Linked DNA regions of Arabidopsis thaliana. The protein of the gene in region 3 purifies or fractionates together with the protein of the main gene of each other region. This does not show direct contact. Each region holds a gene or a part of one and is shown on either strand. Other genes may lie near its edges.

Region 1 (6,872 bases), 1.2 Mb from region 3:
CTCGCTATGCACAAGAAAGAACACCTCGTTCTTGCACCAACGAAACACATCTGATGCTATATATATCATTAGGACGTTTCTGCTGGTAGATATGGCGTGACCAATGGTTATTTTTCATTGCAATATCCCTTTTTGTTTTAATGAGTACTATGTTCTCATTTTAACGAATAAAAATGTATCAGTGCTCTTGTTTTTGGACTAGAAAAGAAAGTAGTCCGATGTTTAATATTCGGGTCCCTTTAATATTCCCTCTGGTTTACAATATTTTAAGCTATCTTAGTAAACATCTATAATGTGAATATATGACTAGAAAACAAAAACATGTCGCTAACAAACAATAATATGAATTTATGACGAAGAAACCAACATGTTGCTAAAAACAATAATATGAATACATGAGGAAGTTTCGTTGACAATGATAAGTAGTGGAAGACTTGACTTTGGATAGCATCTTGCCAATATGTTGTCCTACGTCACATACGAAAGAAAAGTAGGAAAAGAAAAACTTTTGTTCTGCGAAAAGAGAGAACCACGAAAGGCAAGAAAAAAAAAAACAGAAGTAGAGATCGTATATGAAATGACGAGTCTAAAATGGAACAAACCCATGTAACTTTGAAATCTACTATTGATAACGCGTTCAACAGTTCAGTCTCCTCGATAAACAAGATTATAGAAGAAAAAGTATTACAAATAAAACAAAATCGTCTAGTACTGTAAAAAGACAGCCGGTTGAGGAAGAATCCATCGGTACCATACCGGAAAATATACCGGCTTAGGAAGAATAATAACAAATTACTCTTTACATATCCTTTAAACGACTCTTCTCTCCATGTAGTAAACAGAATCAACCAACGAAAAATTGCTCAAGAGAGAAACGTAGCCTAAACCTTTTACCTTTTACCTTGCACGCTATCATTCCAAGCCTGTGAGAAATCATCGTTATGGTAATGAAAATTAGACCAATTAAAAGTTTAAGGATTCAAACATTTATGGATTGCATTGAGAGATAGAAAATGTTTCCAAAAGATTAGCTAACCTCAGCTACCACCCTTTTGTTTGAGGGTGATTTTGTCTCCAAGACTTAGAGCAATCCCTTGCGTCTTGCTCCTTATCCTTATGTAACCACTCAATGTTCCATCCGTTTGCTTCTCAATACTCAAATTCACAAGAGCATCCTCACCAAACACACTTTTTGCATATAAGTTTGCTGCAAGGAATCCACATTCACCTGCTATTGCAGATCTGCAAGTAAAGAAGTATTAATTAGTAAGACGAGTTTTTCGTTTCTACAGGATGAAAGAAGAATTTACACTTACGGAGCAGTGAGACATTTCATGTTTGTGGATTTGATAATGTGGTCGAGGAATTCTCTTTCGTTTTGAATTGTGGTGTTCACAGCAACCTGACATGAATAATACAACAGGCAATGGTTATACCAAAATCTAACAAACAAACAAACAAAGAAGGTAATACTTTTAAAAGGTTTCGGTAAATTACCTTGTTTTCCCATTCAAACTCTGCCCACATAGTTCTGAAAGCAACCTCTGAGCACACAGCAGGGGAGATATAGTCCATGATATCAATGTGTATGTCGTTAAGAACCACAACATTGCGCTCCATTACATTTGATGTCTCATAGACGATGTTCCCGAATATGACTCCTGTCTCTGTGGACGAGACCTTGATGTTTGCTTTAATCTGCATGCTTCTTTCAGGTGCCAGACTATAGTTCTGAGGACGCTCAACAAGTTTGAGATCACCCATGGTTGCTAACTCCAAGCACAAGTTCTGAAGGGTTTCCTTGGTTCGGTTGATTACTGTAACTTCAAGAGCAATATCATAATGGTGTACCGTTACATATGCTTCAGCATAGACTGGGTCACTGAATCCTGTGAGTTGAAGAATGCGGTTAAGTTTGTTAGCATCGTTCTCGTCCTTGGTGAATTCTCCAGTTGCACGCTTTAGGTCATCTTGTACCTGGTCTTCCAACTCAAGTTGACTCATTCCCTGAAAGAAATTTATCATCAGTAAGCTCATCTACAGACCAAAAGAAATAAACATAACATGCCATTATATACTTTTGCCATCTTTCTTTAAAAATGGAGAAAAAATCGGATATGAACTGTAAGAGAAAGCAGATAAAAACTAAACAGAGTGCGAAGGAAAATCATAAGGAAAAGAACACACAATAAAGCGAGGGAAAGCTTAGAAAATAATAATATTACCTTCCGACTCTTTAGATGGAAGAAGTCAATTAGATCATCCGGTTGAGCATGAGTTGTTTGGGTCTTTGCCTTCAGTTCCTCCATCTCTCTAAGCTGTTTTTCAGAAATCATCTTGACAAAACTCTGGCGGCAGGATTCCAACCATATCTTTTTCATCTCAACATTCCTATGGCAAAGCAATTTTATGCACAACATAATCCGCTCATACGAATCATTATCAATAGGGTGTGGAGAAACAGGAGATTGCCCAAGTTGCAAAATAGAAACCATGATTAGCAAAGCCTGTGATACTGTCTTGTTTACTTCAGTTTTGGAAGACTGAACCTCTTCCAACCTAAGAACAAGTTTGGTCAACGTGCAAGCAACCACAGCTCCGAGGAAAAAATCACCAGTTAGAAGGAGTGCCCTCAAATTTCCAGAAGTCAGTGATCCTTGAACAACTGTAGGCGAGGAGAATGTGGTTTCAGAGGCTGCGCTTTGTGTAGCATAAGTTCCATCAGCAAGAATAACTGGCTTTCTAGAGGACACCATGGCAGAAGAGGTAGGCTGAATCTTCTTTGATGTCTCAGTTGGCTCAGACTCCTCAGAAACAGAGTAAAATGGTAATTCGCCAAGGCATTGTGTAATAGTTGAAATGCCACTCTCAACTTCTGAAAGTGATAGGCAATACTCACCAATGATCCAAAGTGCACAAGGGCAGACCTTTCCTGCACGGATCTGATAGAACGTGTCCAACAACCTGGTGATGATTGAAACTCTCAACTTGGGATTTGTTTCTATTATCTCTCTAACGAAAACAACCACGTCAAGAGCTGAAGCCACGTTGCTATCTCCCAGGAAATCCATCAGAAGATGGACCACTGTGCTTGCAACTTCGGGGAACTTAACTGCACAAGCATGGATGGCTTGAATAAGCATTTGCCTGTACTCTCCATTCTTCTCAAGTTCTCCACTCTGTGTCTTCACAACTTCTTTCTTCAACATTTGAACGACTTCATTAATATTATGATGGGTAATCAAGTCAAGGGCAATGTCAAGTGTCTTCCTGCGGATATCAAGGTTTGGGCTTGAGAGTGCTCTGAGCACATCGATTATCAGCTCAACCATGATATCTCTGTGCAATGTCTTAAGCTCATACAACCGATCGAGCAAGATAAGCTTCACATTGTTGTCACTCTGAGAAAGAAGAAGTTGGCAGTAGGTGTTGGCAGCAGCTCGAATAGCAGTAGGGGCAGATGAGAGAGAAACAAGTGTCCCAGCACATTCATAGATAACTGCAGAAGAAGTAGCACTTAACAGAGAAATAATAATTTTAATATATTTTCCCTTCTCCGCTGGTTTAGTCTTACACACACTTCGAATCAGCTCCAGCACCACCATCTGAAGTGATTCATTCCAGTCTGAAACCTTGTCAACATTGCTCAGAAGATAATTCACTGCACGTTCTTCGGCACAGGTAAAGAGCATTAGAAATGCATTTCTCTTGGCAGAAGGATCTTGTTCTGTTGATAGAACTTTCTCGATCATTTCAGGTGCATCCACGAAGAGTTGGTCGCCATGTGGAAGTTTATATATCGACATGATTGCCAGAATTGCATTCCTGCGAACAAATGGATGGCGATGCTCCAGATTTTGTAACACTGATGGAGTCAAAGGTTCCACTATTTCAGTCTCCTTCATCCGACAGAGAAACCTCAGTGTCACTCCACGGATGTACTCATTCGGATGCTGAAGGTTATTACGAAGATTCTGGCATATCAAAATCATTTCAGGCAACACCTTCCCCTTCGAATCTGTCTTTTCAATCAGCTCCAGGTACAGCAACAGAAGCTTTTGGATGGTGTGGTCTTCAGAAGGCAGCACATATCTTATAATGGTAATGAAAAGCTGAGGAATGGTTTCACCATTCAGCAAAAGCATAATTGCCTTCTTCATGGCATCAACTTTAGCTTCAACATCATTTCCTTCGAGAGCTTCTTTAATCTCATTAGCAACTGCTGGAGTCCCTTTGTCATAGTGAACAAGCATGGTACTAGATTTGTCCATCTTTTCAGGTGCTGCACAAAGAGTGAAAAATAAAATAAAATTGTGAGCTCATATGAAAAGGAAAAATCATGCAAGAACAAGTGTACCTATGTTAACATAAGAAATTCAAAGCGAATAGAGAATAGGAACCTAAAATACTGAAAATCGATTTAAAGATAAAATGAAGTAGTATAGATCACAGGTAACAATCAATATATCCAAAATTTTAAGAATTTTCTTTTAATTACTAAGTTAGTATAAGCACCTTACTAGTATCTTCATCACTGCTCGAGTAAGTTCTAAACAAGAAGTTTCAGAGTATCCCCATAATACTACTCAGCAATAATAATCTACACCTCTCTACATATATTTCAGTACAATGAAGAAAGCATCTATGTTCTCAAATCCACGGTATATGAGAAAGCATCATAATCGCTGAAGAATATTCGGTAATGTCTAATCAACGACCCAAAGATGCAAGACATTGACAAATTCAAATCCTCAGATCCAGCAATACACATCACTTTTACTACAACTACGACCAAAACATTAACATAAAATCGAATAATAAAAAAGCTTCGGATCAACCAAAGTTCATATCACAAATGCAATATATCTCCCCAGATTTGATGAACAAACAATGGAATCTACATAGTTCGCAGTCTCACTCAGCTGCACAAACATGAAAATCGTTTGCCTACCGGGATCGGATCAATATTCAACGAGATCAAGCAAAGAACGCCAGAGAATATTGAACATTGTAGATTTTCACAAAGGAAAAGCAAAAGTGGGATCGATCTCTACGAAATCTGAGTCGCAAGTTTAACAGATAGAGACGAACCTCAAGGTAGGAGATCCACGGAGTAACAAAGCTTTGGATCCGTTAGAAGATTTTGGATCTCGGAAAAAAAAACACTCGCACAAAGTGAGAGATTATGAAATGTCCTTAATATTATCGTGGATTCGTCTTCCCTTGTGTTTACTCCTCCAAATCCGATTTTGTTTTTTAGTTTTTTTTCCTTCTGTTTGGAAAACGAAGAACGGAAAGAAGCGAGTCAACCTCGCAGGCCCAAATATTGATTGTTGACAAGCCCAGTCCAATAGAAGTTGAGAAAGCATAGCCCCTACTTTTTTATTGTTTCCAAAACGACCCCAAACTTTTAAAAGTGAGCGTAATTAGGAATTATGTCAGTTTTTCCTTGAAACGTGCTCCAACTTTCGGTTAGAGATGGATGATTTTATGATAGAAGATGATGTATTTGGATCTTTCCTCTTCTACTCGCGTCTAGTATTTTCTTGTCTAATGATGTTAGCGATATCTAGTTACGCGAATGTGTATGTGATCGTCCCTTGGTACCTTGAGGCAAGTGATTTAAGATTATTAAATTTTGCTTAAAAATTATTGCTTGGTTTTCTTGAGAATAGAAAAGGCTGTAAGAATCAAATGTTATGGGTTTGGTTGTGAAGCAATTGGTTTCTTTGGCTTGTAGATTTTGAATATGGTCCATATTAATACATGCGTTTCATTACAACTTACTTGCTAACATAACCCGTATTATATAGCTACTAGCAAATTAAAGTCTAGCTTTGACAATTGAATAGTTCACTTCAAATGCATATGAAAGAAAAGAATAGAGATCAAATCTGAAATGACGAGTTCTAAAATGGAGCAAACCAAATGTAGCTTTGAAATCTACAATATCATAAAGTTCACGGTTTAAAGTCCTCAACAAACGACATTATAGAAGAAAAAGCATTACAAATAAAACAAAATCGTCTAGTACAGTAAAAAACACACTGCCATATGAGATGAAGAAATCCATCGGTACCATACCAGAAAATATACCGGTTAAGTAAGAACGATAGCCAATTACTCTTTTTACATATACCCTTGAACGCCTCCTCCCTCCATATAATAAGCAGATTCAACCAACGATAATTGCTCAAGAGAAACGTACGTAGTCTAAACCTGTTACCTTTGCACGCCACTGTGAGAAATCATCGGTATGGTACTGAAATTTAGACCAATTGCGGTTTAAGGATTAAAACATGTATTAATCGAGAAATAGAATATGTTTTGAAAAGATTAGCTAACCTCAGCTACTACCCTTTTGTTTGAGGGTGATTTTGTCCCCAAGACTTAGGGCAATCCCTTGCGTCTTGCTCCTTATCCTTATGTAACCACTCAATGCTCCATCCGTTTGCTTCTCAATACTCACATTCACAAGAGCATCCTCACCAAATACACTTTTTGCGTATAAGTTTGCTGCAAGGAATCCACATTCGCCTTCTATTGCGGATCTGCAAGTAAAGAAGTATTAATTAGTAAGAAGAGTTTTTCGTTTCTACAGGATGAAAGAAGAATTTACACTTACGGAGCAGTGAGACATTTCATGTTTGTAGATTTGATAATGTGGTCGAGGAATTCTCTTTCGTTTTGTATTGTGGTGTTCACAGCAACCTGACATAAAGAATACAACAGGAATTGGTTATACCAAACTCCAACAAACATACGAAAAGAAGGTACAACTATAAAAGGTTTCAATAAATTACCTTGTTTTCCCATTCGAACTCTGCCCACATAGTTCTGAAAGCAACCTCTGAACACACAGCAGGGGAGAT
Region 2 (2,547 bases), about 11 Mb from region 3:
ATAAAATAGACCATAACTATGATAATACTTTTACCCAATGTAAACCACTCCAAAATACACTAGTTAACATGCATTTATCACAGTTAAAAAACAGTTAGCTTTTATTGCTTAGACCAATTCAGAGAAATTTTGAGCGCAATAACTAAGAGAGAGCTTTTAAAAGCTTCAAGTTAGTATTAGGTGTTAGAATTTTTTTTTTTTTTTTTTTTTTTTTGATCAAAGGTGTTAGAATTTTATTTAACCATAGAGAACAAATACTTTCTTCTAAGCATTTAAAATATTAATGTAATGCTATCTCAACTCAAAAATATATTGCATTTAAACAGAGAAACAAATAAACTAATCAAAAGCAGACAACAAATAATCAAAACCGGACATCAAATAATCAAAAGCAGACATCAACTAATCAAAAGCAGACATCAAATAATCACATATCAAAAGCAAAATCAACAAATCAAACTCAGACAACAACTACTAGATGAATTAAAGAAGGCTCAGTTCTACCTTCGTGTTATCAAGAAATAGTGCAATCTGTAGAGCGTGGTAAGGGCCAGGACAGACAGGATATCAGAAATGTACTTCTGCAAACATAGCAAATGTAATTTTTAAGCCATACCAATATAAGAATTGTTAATAACTTGAAATCAATGATGACATACCTTGAGATTAGAATCAGCCATTGTTTCATGAAACGCTTTAAGAGTTACATACTGGGGACGCAGAAACTTTAGTGGTTTGGGAACTGAAGTCATTGAACTTGTTAAAGCTCGGATTTCCTGCCTACAAAACCAAAAAAAAATTAAAAACTCCAACAAGGGTAGAACACAAGGAGCAGAAAAGAAAGAAAAACTTTATAAATTATGAGCTTCAAAGACAGTAATCTGAAAACCCGAAGCTAATCAAGTCAAGAATTACCTCATACTCTCAAGAGCAGCCTTCTGCAAGTCCGGATTAGGATCCTGAACCATCTCAACATAGAGCTTAAGGTTCTGCTTTAGTTCCAAATCCTCTTAAGACTACAATCACAACCCAATGTAAGTCGAGTCATTAGTCCTGTGAACATATATAAAAAAAAAAACTCTCCTCACAGCACAAGTTAGCAACTTTTTAATCCGGCTATACTAATGACGAACAAAACATTCACTTTGAACATGCTTATTGTTTTGTTTTTGTATATCTCCTTATGCTTTGTAAAACCACGTACAATACTGTAATTGATATGTTCTCGTAATAAGAAAAGAATACGAACCCACTTAGTCTTCATAATTAGATTCATCATATCGAATCAAAGATGAAAAGATTTATTACAAAAATAAACCAAATTAAAACCGATAAATAAGTTTTTTTCTACTATAGACACAACATTCCAATTGCCATGGTGATTGAACAACCATAGGAAAAAACGATTATCATCTTCATTTCTTCTCTCTTTGTTCTTTTCCATCCTCTCTTTGTTCATTTCCATCTTCATCATTCTAACTTCCTCTTTGTAACGCCCGTGAACCGGAAAATCAGTTAGAGTTTGTTTTTAAATCATCCGGTTTAATTGATTGGGTTAATTGGAAACCTTAGAGTATGCCTATAAAAGAAGTAAACTCGAAATTAGGGCTTTGGTTAGCCACTTTTCGTTTTATAAAGGAGAAAAAGAGAGAAAAGGAGAACGAGCAGAATCGTTAGGGTTTGGGAGAAATCAGTTTCGTCATATCAAATCGTGGTAAAAGGTAACGAAATTTGGCAGAGTTATTCCCAAGTCCTTTATCGTTATTCTCCAATTTACAGAATTGGATTTGGATTCAAATTGGTTGAGTTATTCGCAGTTTCGTGAGACACGTTTTCTCAGACGCGAATTAGGACCAGCGGAGATTGAAACTGAGATCGTGGTCTCGTCTGTTTTCCGATCGGCACGAGATTTTGTGGTCAGCTTTGTGACGTCTGCAGCTAGGATTTCACCGGAGAGATTGAATAGTTAACGGTTAGTTTGTATTTGAGGGTTTCGTCTTTGAGACTGCTTGTTTCTGGTTTTTCCTGTCCAGTTTGCTTCAAGGTTGCTTTTGGTTGTGGACTTTTTGTAGGACGTTTCTGGACTGTTTCAGACGCAAGGAGAGTCTCTCCTGGGTTTAATTGCTATTAGAATCAATTTGTTAAGGTGAGTGCGTGACCATGAGCTTATCTGAGCGATAGGGTTGTGTGATTTGTTTTGTGTGATGATATGTAGGTGTGGTGAATGTGTTTTGGATGAATTGTTCAATGACTGGTTTGTTTGTATTGTATTCGTGATTATACCTTTTTATTTGCTTGTGTGTATAGCTCGTAGATGGGAGGATCGCCTCACTAAGTATTTATGATAATACTTACGCATCTCATTGTGTTGTTGATACAGGTAAAGATAAAGTGTGATCGTGGAATCATGGCAAGGAAGAGAGGATGATCTAGGAACTCGTTTGTTTTATTTTTGGTGTTTTTGGTTATTGGAACCCGGTTAGGATTGTTAGTTATTCTTGGTTTTGTTGGTCGAATTATTTATTTATTCATTAAATAGTATTTTTG
Region 3 (8,039 bases):
GAGGCTCAATGAAACGCAATCCTCAGCTTTGAAAGAAGAGACAACACTTGTCATAATATTTCAGTTTTCTTCTCTGTTTTTCTTTCATTGTTTGTTCATTCTGCATCAAAGACGTGCAGTTTTTGACAGTCACAAAATTATGATGTTTGTAGGAGTAATTTTTGACCAAAAGAGATTAGAGTGTGGTTTTGTTGAAATGTTTAGTACAAAGCCTTAATCCATAAATACGTGGAATTTATCAAGATTGTTTATTATTGGTCTTATATAATTATGAGATTCTAAAAGTGTGATACGGTTAGGGTTAGGCGTATCCTTTTGTTACCGTTGTGATAAAATTTCCTTTTTGTTTCTGCTACTCAAATAAGAAAAGGAAACAATCAAAATTTCCTTTTTTCATTGAACAAACGTGTACTTATAAATACACCCCTTCTCTCTTCTTCCTTGAGAAAAGTCTCCATTCTCTCTTCTTCTTCCTGGAAACCTAAACCACGTAAGGATTTGCTCTGAATCTAAATATTGACGTGGAGAAGACGCGATCTTACTAATTCTCCATTCTCTGCTTCAACTTCACCGTAAGATTGAACAAACCTTTACTTATATATACCTCTTCTTTCTTGAGAAATCCAAATTCTCCATTCTCTCTTCTTCTTCCAAACCAAAACCTAATTCTCCATTCTCTGCTTCAACTTCACCGTAAGATTGATCGGTTGATAAAGCGGCTCTTTTTGGTGATTGATCTCTGTTGTGACTACATCTTAGGTCAATTCAGATTGCTTTCATATCAAGTCTCTCCTAATTTCACAAGATCAAAGATCCCGGCCATGGATTCAGTTGTCGACGGCGAAGGAGAACACAAACGACGACTAAGGATGCGAAAGTGGGAAAGAGGGATATAACGAAGACATGGACAATGAAAGCAACGAGCAGTATAGAACCAAATCAATGGATCATGATCTGTGTTTGGTACTAGGTGTTTCCTTGGCGTCGACGAGATCTTTTGAAAATCTTGTGTTTCGTCGATATCACAAGCAAAGGTATTTTCTTTTTTCCTTTTCTATTTTTAATGATTCATTTTTTACTAAATAAAAATTTATTTTTAGATTTTTTTATTAAGTGTTAAAATTTTCAATTTTGTGTAAATTAATTTAAATTTTTAACACTTGTTTTTGTTTTTATTAAAAACTGTTTTTAAACCTATATTTTTATACTACTATTAAAGTTTTAAGGTTTTTCTTATTAAATATTAAATTTTTAAATTTTGTGTAAACTAATTGGATACATCATCCAATCCCCTAAGAGGTGTTCTAGGTTCAATAGATGGTTTACACATCATTTAAATTTTTAACACTTGTTTTTTATATTTATTAAATAAATGTTTTTAAACCTAAATTTTTATACTACTATTAAAATTTGAAGTTTTTTTTTATTAAGTGTTGAATTTTTAAATTTTGTGTAAACTAATTGGATACATCATCCAAACCCCTAAGAGGTGTTCTAGGTTCAATATGGTTTACACATTATTTAAATTTTTAACACTTGTTTTTCTTATATCAAAAATATGTTTTAAACCTTTATTTTTATACTACTATTAAAGTTTTAAGTTTTTTTATTAAGTGTTAAATATTTAAATTTGTGTAAGCTAATTGGATACATCATCCAAACCCCTAAATAGTGTTCTAGTTTCAATATGGTTTACACATTATTTAAAGTTTTAACACTTGTTTTCCTTATATTAAAAAATGTTTTAAACCTATATTTTTCTATTACTATTAAGATCTTAAGTTTTTTTTTTAATTTTGTGTAAACTAATTGGATAAATCTTAACTCCTAAGAGGTTAGGTTCAATATGGTTTACATATAATTTAATTTTTCTTATATTAAAAAATGTTTCTATTTTTATTTTACTATTAAGATTTTAAATTTTTTTTTGTTAAGTGTAAAAAATTAAAATTTTGTGTAAACTAATTGAATATAACATTCAAACCTGTAAGAGGTGTTTATAGGTTCAATATGATTTATATATAATTTAAATAGTTTGCTATTTTGTTTAGAATCAAAATATTTTTAAATGACATGTTGTAATAATTGACCAAAAGAAATTAGTGTGTGATTTTGTTGAAATGCAGAGTACAAAGCCTTAATTTATACCAAGTTATGGTATCTATAACGTATATGAATACCAAAATTTTATTATTTTTAATTGGTGTTGTATTTTATAATTCGAAATAATTAGGGGAACGGGCAAAACCTCTCTGTTCTCTCGCTTATATTTTTTTTAGAGAGAAAGCAAATCAGTTTCAACGATCGGATATTTTCTGGTGTTAGCCGTCCTGACTTTTTGGGCTTTCTGTCCGATATCACCGGCTCTGGTAGCGGTGTTGGTTGGCTCTAGTCCGGCAGCGTCTTGTTCACATAACCGGTGGTTGCTGGCTCTTGGTTTCTCTCGTCGATGTAGATCGATTTTTAATCTGTGTTTTTTTATTTTCATGTTTTGTTTTTAATAATTCTCATCTGAGACATGTTGGTGATAGAGTGAATGCAATCTCGCTTTCTAATGCTTCTTATCCGATCTGTTCTTTTTTAAGTTTTGATTTACAGAAATTTTTGGAGAAATTTGAGAATGATGTTGAAGAAAAGAAGTGGATTCTGTTGTTAATTATCATAGCCTTAAGCTGTTGTATATTTAACATGAGCCTCGATTGCTTTTTATCGGTGAAAAAACAAAAAGATCCATGTTCTATGAGACTATCGACGGTGATTCTTTCACCGAAATCGGTGCTCAGACGGCGAAAATGAAGTCGGTTCGCTTTAGAGTACTCATCTGACACGTATATTAATATATCGACATGTGGTTTGGGATAGAGTCAAACTATAGTTTCTTCTTCTATGAAAGACTCTCTGTTGGCCTATTTGGTCCTAAATCGTTTCTGTAATCGCGGACTTTTCTTTAAGCTTTGACTATCTTGATTAATACAATATTTCTCTTGGGACAAAAAAAAAATAATCTTAGTATTTCTTTAATATTTTTTGTTTGGGTATGGGCTATTGGGCCGCTTCGAAAAGTTCACTTTCTCTATCGATCTCTCACAGTTTCTGAGTTCTCTGACTCAAAAACATATAGTAGAAGAAAACGATTAGAGATCTTCTTCTTTCTCCTGTTGCATCTGAAGATAAAGGAAACAGAAAGCGCGAGATCTGAGTGACGGAGTAATTTCAAAGGGAGGTTTTCGAGATCAGAAATGGCGCAACCCCTCGTGAAGAAAGACGATGATCACGACGATGAGTGTATGTGTTCTCTCTTAATCTCCTTATAATTTTCGAATCAGCTGGTTTTCTGCAAAATGTAGATCCAGATGTTAAGCTTCTAGATCTGTTATCATTCAACAGTCGTGATTGTGATTTGGTTGTGTAGATCTACAATCTCAAGTCCGATTTAGTTTTGTTTACCGCATTCGATCCCGGTGTGAATTGCTTTGCTTATTTCGATTTCTGATTTTTTGTTGGATCAGTGGAGTATTCTCCATTCATGGGAATTGAGAAAGGAGCGGTTCTTCAAGAGGCTAGAGTCTTTAATGACCCTCAGGTTGATCCTAGACGATGCTCCCAGGTCATTACGAAGCTTCTTTATTTGCTTAACCAAGGGGAGTCATTCACCAAGGTCAGTTAATTTTTTTGCTTATACTGATTCGATGTCATGCTTATGGAGAATTGAATTATTGTGTTCTTATCCTCTCGCGATGGTTGTTTGTTTCATATGCAGGTTGAAGCAACGGAAGTTTTCTTTTCAGTTACAAAGCTTTTTCAATCAAAAGACACGGGTTTGAGGAGAATGGTCTACTTGATCATTAAGGAGTTATCTCCATCATCTGATGAGGTCTGTAAATTTTACTCAATTTCAATACGAACATCGTCGCACTTATTGTAGGTATATTTTCTGATAAGTTGTTGGTTTTTTCGCCCATAGGTTATCATCGTAACAAGCTCTCTGATGAAGGATATGAATAGTAAAATTGATATGTATCGAGCAAATGCTATCCGTGTCCTCTGCCGGATAATAGACGGAACCCTTCTCACTCAGATTGAGCGATACTTGAAACAAGCCATTGTGGATAAGAATCCCGTTGTTTCAAGTGCAGCTTTAGTCAGTGGGCTTCACTTGCTCAAGGTACCTTTTACACACCAAAACTATTAGGTAGCTTCTTAATTGTAATGTTATGCTTATATTCGTATATTGCTGTTTTCAGACAAACCCAGAAATTGTTAAAAGATGGAGCAATGAAGTTCAAGAAGGTATTCAATCCAGATCAGCCCTTGTTCAGTTCCATGCCCTAGCTTTGCTCCATCAGGTTAGTTTGTTGCATTATTATCACCGAAGTCGATTGGTCTATGTTTCTACTCTTTGTTTAATTAAACAGCCACTGAGAAGAAGTATCTCGGAAAATGAGAGGTGTTACTATGTGTATTGGACTAGATTCATAAATAATAAGTTTTCTGTAGCAGCATCGTAGCTCTTTACTACGGCCTTTTCCAGCAATTTTAGTTTCTTGTGAGGTTTAATCTGTGTCTGGAGTCTGTCTCAGATACTGCTGATTCTAGCATATGTAACTAATTAGGTTGGTTAGGACAACCTATTTATGTGTCTAAGATGTACGAGTTACCAAATGATATGTATTGCTGCTGTTACGTTGATTTAAAATGACTCCCAACATGATACACTCTCAATCTTTGATCTAATAACTGTCAATCTTTGATCAACTTGATAATCTTTCATCATATTCAGATACGCCAAAATGATCGCTTGGCTGTTAGCAAATTGGTTGGTAGCTTGACCAGGGGATCTGTCCGCTCTCCCTTGGCTCAGTGTCTTTTGATACGTTACACCAGCCAGGTTATTCCTCTCTTCTGTTTGATCATTTGATAAGTGGCTGATTGTATATGTGTTATTTAGCTCTGGTTTCTAATATTCAGGTTATCCGTGACATGGCCAACCACGGTCAATCTGGAGAACGTCCGTTCTATGAATTTTTGGAGAGTTGCCTGCGCCATAAGGCAGAAATGGTGATCCTTGAGGCTGCCAGGGCAATTACTGAGCTTGATGGTGTGACAAGCCGAGAACTGACTCCAGCAATCACTGTTCTTCAGCTCTTTTTGAGTTCCCCCAGACCAGTGTTGAGATTTGCCGCTGTCCGGACTCTGAACAAGGTTTGCAATGCTTTCAACTGTTCTCTTTGTACATTGACACCGAAATGATGTTTTACTATTCTGGGTAGATTCATCATTACCTTTATCATGAGGATGAGGAGATATTTCACTGTATACTAAACACAAGTTTGAACCACAGGTTGCAATGACTCATCCTATGGCTGTCACCAACTGCAACATTGATATGGAGAGTTTAATCTCTGATCAAAATAGAAGCATTGCTACACTCGCAATAACCACACTATTGAAAACAGGGAACGAATCAAGTGTAGAACGTTTGATGAAGCAGATAACTAATTTTATGTCAGATATTGCTGATGAGTTCAAAATTGTGGTCGTGGACGCAATAAGATCGTTGTGTGTGAAATTCCCACTGAAATACAGATCCTTGTAAGTAAAGTTTTAGGGTTTGTTATTTGTAGTTTTGGTCTCGAGCATTTCTATTTTTTTGAATGATTAAATATGTTATGGTATCTTTTTAGCATTTGGCTTATGATTGATCTATCACCTTTTCATTTGTAGGATGACCTTCTTAAGCAACATTCTTAGGGAAGAAGGTGGATTTGAGTATAAAAGAGCAATAGTAGATTCTATTGTGACCATTATCAGAGATATTCCGGATGCAAAGGAAAGTGGACTGCTTCATCTATGTGAATTCATTGAAGATTGTGAATTCACATATCTTTCAACACAGGTAATTATTCCATCATCCATCTGGGGTTGCTATTAAAAACTTATGTGTTATTGAAATGTTTATTCTCGCACAGATCCTTCATTTTCTGGGAATTGAGGGGCCTAACACCTCAGATCCAAGCAAGTATATACGATATATATATAATCGTGTGCATCTAGAAAACGCCACTGTCCGGGCTGCTGCTGTTTCCACACTTGCAAAGTTTGGGTTTATGGTTGAATCCTTGAAGGTATAGTCATCATAACAACCATTATTTTTATTTTCCGTTTATCTTCTTTGACTGATGATAATGCTCGACAGCCCCGGATTACTGTTCTATTGAAGCGTTGCATCTATGACAGTGATGATGAGGTGCGTTCCTAGTCTTAGTCTAGAAAAGCATTGCTGTTTCTGTATGTCTGTTTGTTTTGAGTCGTTGCATCATCAAACATGCATGCATGTGTTTGCCTCTGTAAACATTTTCGGATGCATGCAATGCAAGTTGTTTGATGATTCCTTCCTTGCTCATGAGTCAGACATCTTTTTATCTTAAGGTCCGTGATAGGGCAACACTATATTTGAGTGTTCTTGGTGGTGATGGTACTGTTGACACTGATAAAGAGAGCAAGGATTTCCTATTTGGTTCCCTGGAGGTTCCTCTAGTCAACATGGAAACTAGTCTGAAGAATTATGTGAGTTAATCTATTTCTCGGTTTTCTCCTTTTCAATATTCTTAGGACATCAGTTATCTTATATCTGGGATTCCTGCAGGAGCCCTCTGAAGAAGCTTTTGATATCAACTCCGTACCTAAGGAAGTTAAATCTCAGCCCCTTGCAGAGAAGAAAGCCCAGGGTAAAAAGCCCACTGGTCTTGGTGCACCACCAGCTGCACCTGCTTCTGGTTTTGATGGCTATGAAAGACTTCTCTCATCCATTCCAGAGTTTGCCGCCTTTGGAAAACTTTTCAAGGTTAGGGGCTGATTTGTCTTCTGTGTTATTCTAATGTTAATGGCTTATCTTGTTTGCTTTAACTTGTACTTTCTTTTTCAGTCTTCTTTACCTGTGGAGCTAACTGAAGCAGAAACAGAATACGCTGTCAATGTTGTTAAGCATATCTTTGACAGTCATGTGGTGTTTCAGTACAACTGCACTAACACAATACCAGAGCAGTTGTTGGAGAGGGTACTGAACATTGGTGTAGAATATTAGTGTCAAGCATATCTTATCTTTCTTTCCTCATTTAATTAATTTGGCATGGGGTTGTAGGTCAATGTCATTGTAGATGCTTCAGAAGCTGAGGAATTCAGTGAAGTAACTTCAAAGGCCCTAAACTCACTTCCTTACGATTCACCCGGTCAAGCCTTTGTGGTTTTTGAGAAGCCAGCTGGGGTCCCTGCTGTTGGAAAGTTCTCCAACACATTGACTTTCGTTGTTAAGGAGGTACATGTTAAATAGGCTATTCACTTCCATCTTTTTATTTACTTACACTGAAAATGACCCCATAATACTTTGTGGAGAACTCTTATAAACAACGACTCATTTGGAGAGGAGTACCAGAACGACTCAAATTAATCACAGAAAACAAAGAAAACTCTCTAACTACATTGTTTGTGCTTTTATGAATGTGTTAAAACAGGTTGACCCAAGCACAGGTGAAGCAGAAGATGATGGAGTAGAAGATGAGTACCAGCTAGAGGATCTTGAGGTTGTAGCTGGAGATTACATGGTGAAAGTGGGTGTCTCCAATTTCAGGAATGCGTGGGAAAGCATGGATGAAGAAGATGAGCGTGTAGACGAATATGGCCTTGGCCAAAGAGAGAGTTTGGGAGAAGCTGTAAAGGCTGTCATGGATCTTCTTGGCATGCAGACTTGTGAGGTTAGTCTCTTCCACTTTTTTCTCATACTCTACTGAGACTTGAGGGCTAAAATTATTGTTGATAAAGTCTTTTTTGAGTATATGACCATTTGTTGTGTTCCTGAAATTGAAACTGACACTGGATAAATAACAGGGGACGGAGACAATTCCGCTCAATGCAAGGTCACACACGTGTCTATTGTCAGGTGTGTACATAGGCAACGTGAAAGTGTTAGTGAGGGCACAGTTTGGAATGGACAGCTCAAAGGACATTGCAATGAAGCTGACAGTTAGAGCTGAAGACGTTTC

The links.
Region 1: the proteins of AT4G34450 (region 3) and AT4G31490 fractionate together in Arabidopsis thaliana (co-fractionation; one large-scale study listed by BioGRID). This does not show direct contact.
Region 2: the proteins of AT4G34450 (region 3) and AT4G08140 fractionate together in Arabidopsis thaliana (co-fractionation; one large-scale study listed by BioGRID). This does not show direct contact.

Annotation. Positions count from the first base shown.
Region 1 is NC_003075.7:15,266,859-15,273,730, reverse strand, and holds AT4G31490 (Coatomer, beta subunit), read right to left. Parts: upstream 5,286-6,872; 5' UTR 5,092-5,285; exon of another isoform or gene 4,516-5,091; intron 4,283-4,515; 5' UTR 4,272-4,282; coding exon 2,226-4,271; intron 2,008-2,225; coding exon 1,498-2,007; intron 1,403-1,497; coding exon 1,317-1,402; intron 1,243-1,316; coding exon 1,038-1,242; 3' UTR 1,037-1,037; intron 924-1,036; 3' UTR 501-923; downstream 1-500. Other genes in the region: CYP83B1 (cytochrome P450, family 83, subfamily B, polypeptide 1), read left to right, coding at 1-54; AT4G31480 (Coatomer, beta subunit), read right to left, coding at 6,347-6,551, 6,626-6,711, 6,804-6,872. UniProt on the Arabidopsis thaliana protein: The coatomer is a cytosolic protein complex that binds to dilysine motifs and reversibly associates with Golgi non-clathrin-coated vesicles, which further mediate biosynthetic protein transport from the ER, via the Golgi up to the trans Golgi network.
Region 2 is NC_003075.7:5,134,094-5,136,640, reverse strand, and holds AT4G08140 (26S proteasome non-ATPase regulatory subunit-like protein), read right to left. Parts: upstream 969-2,547; coding exon 916-968; intron 781-915; coding exon 660-780; intron 582-659; coding exon 501-581; downstream 1-500.
Region 3 is NC_003075.7:16,468,717-16,476,755, forward strand, and holds the start of AT4G34450 (coatomer gamma-2 subunit, putative / gamma-2 coat protein, putative / gamma-2 COP), read left to right. Parts: upstream 1-2,019; 5' UTR 2,020-3,239; coding exon 3,240-3,285; intron 3,286-3,509; coding exon 3,510-3,658; intron 3,659-3,760; coding exon 3,761-3,874; intron 3,875-3,964; coding exon 3,965-4,165; intron 4,166-4,244; coding exon 4,245-4,346; intron 4,347-4,780; coding exon 4,781-4,888; intron 4,889-4,968; coding exon 4,969-5,202; intron 5,203-5,341; coding exon 5,342-5,592; intron 5,593-5,724; coding exon 5,725-5,896; intron 5,897-5,969; coding exon 5,970-6,125; intron 6,126-6,196; coding exon 6,197-6,247; intron 6,248-6,429; coding exon 6,430-6,567; intron 6,568-6,646; coding exon 6,647-6,844; intron 6,845-6,925; coding exon 6,926-7,057; intron 7,058-7,141; coding exon 7,142-7,315; intron 7,316-7,511; coding exon 7,512-7,751; intron 7,752-7,884; coding exon 7,885-8,039. Other genes in the region: PERK5 (Protein kinase superfamily protein), read left to right, coding at 1-32. UniProt on the Arabidopsis thaliana protein: The coatomer is a cytosolic protein complex that binds to dilysine motifs and reversibly associates with Golgi non-clathrin-coated vesicles, which further mediate biosynthetic protein transport from the ER, via the Golgi up to the trans Golgi network.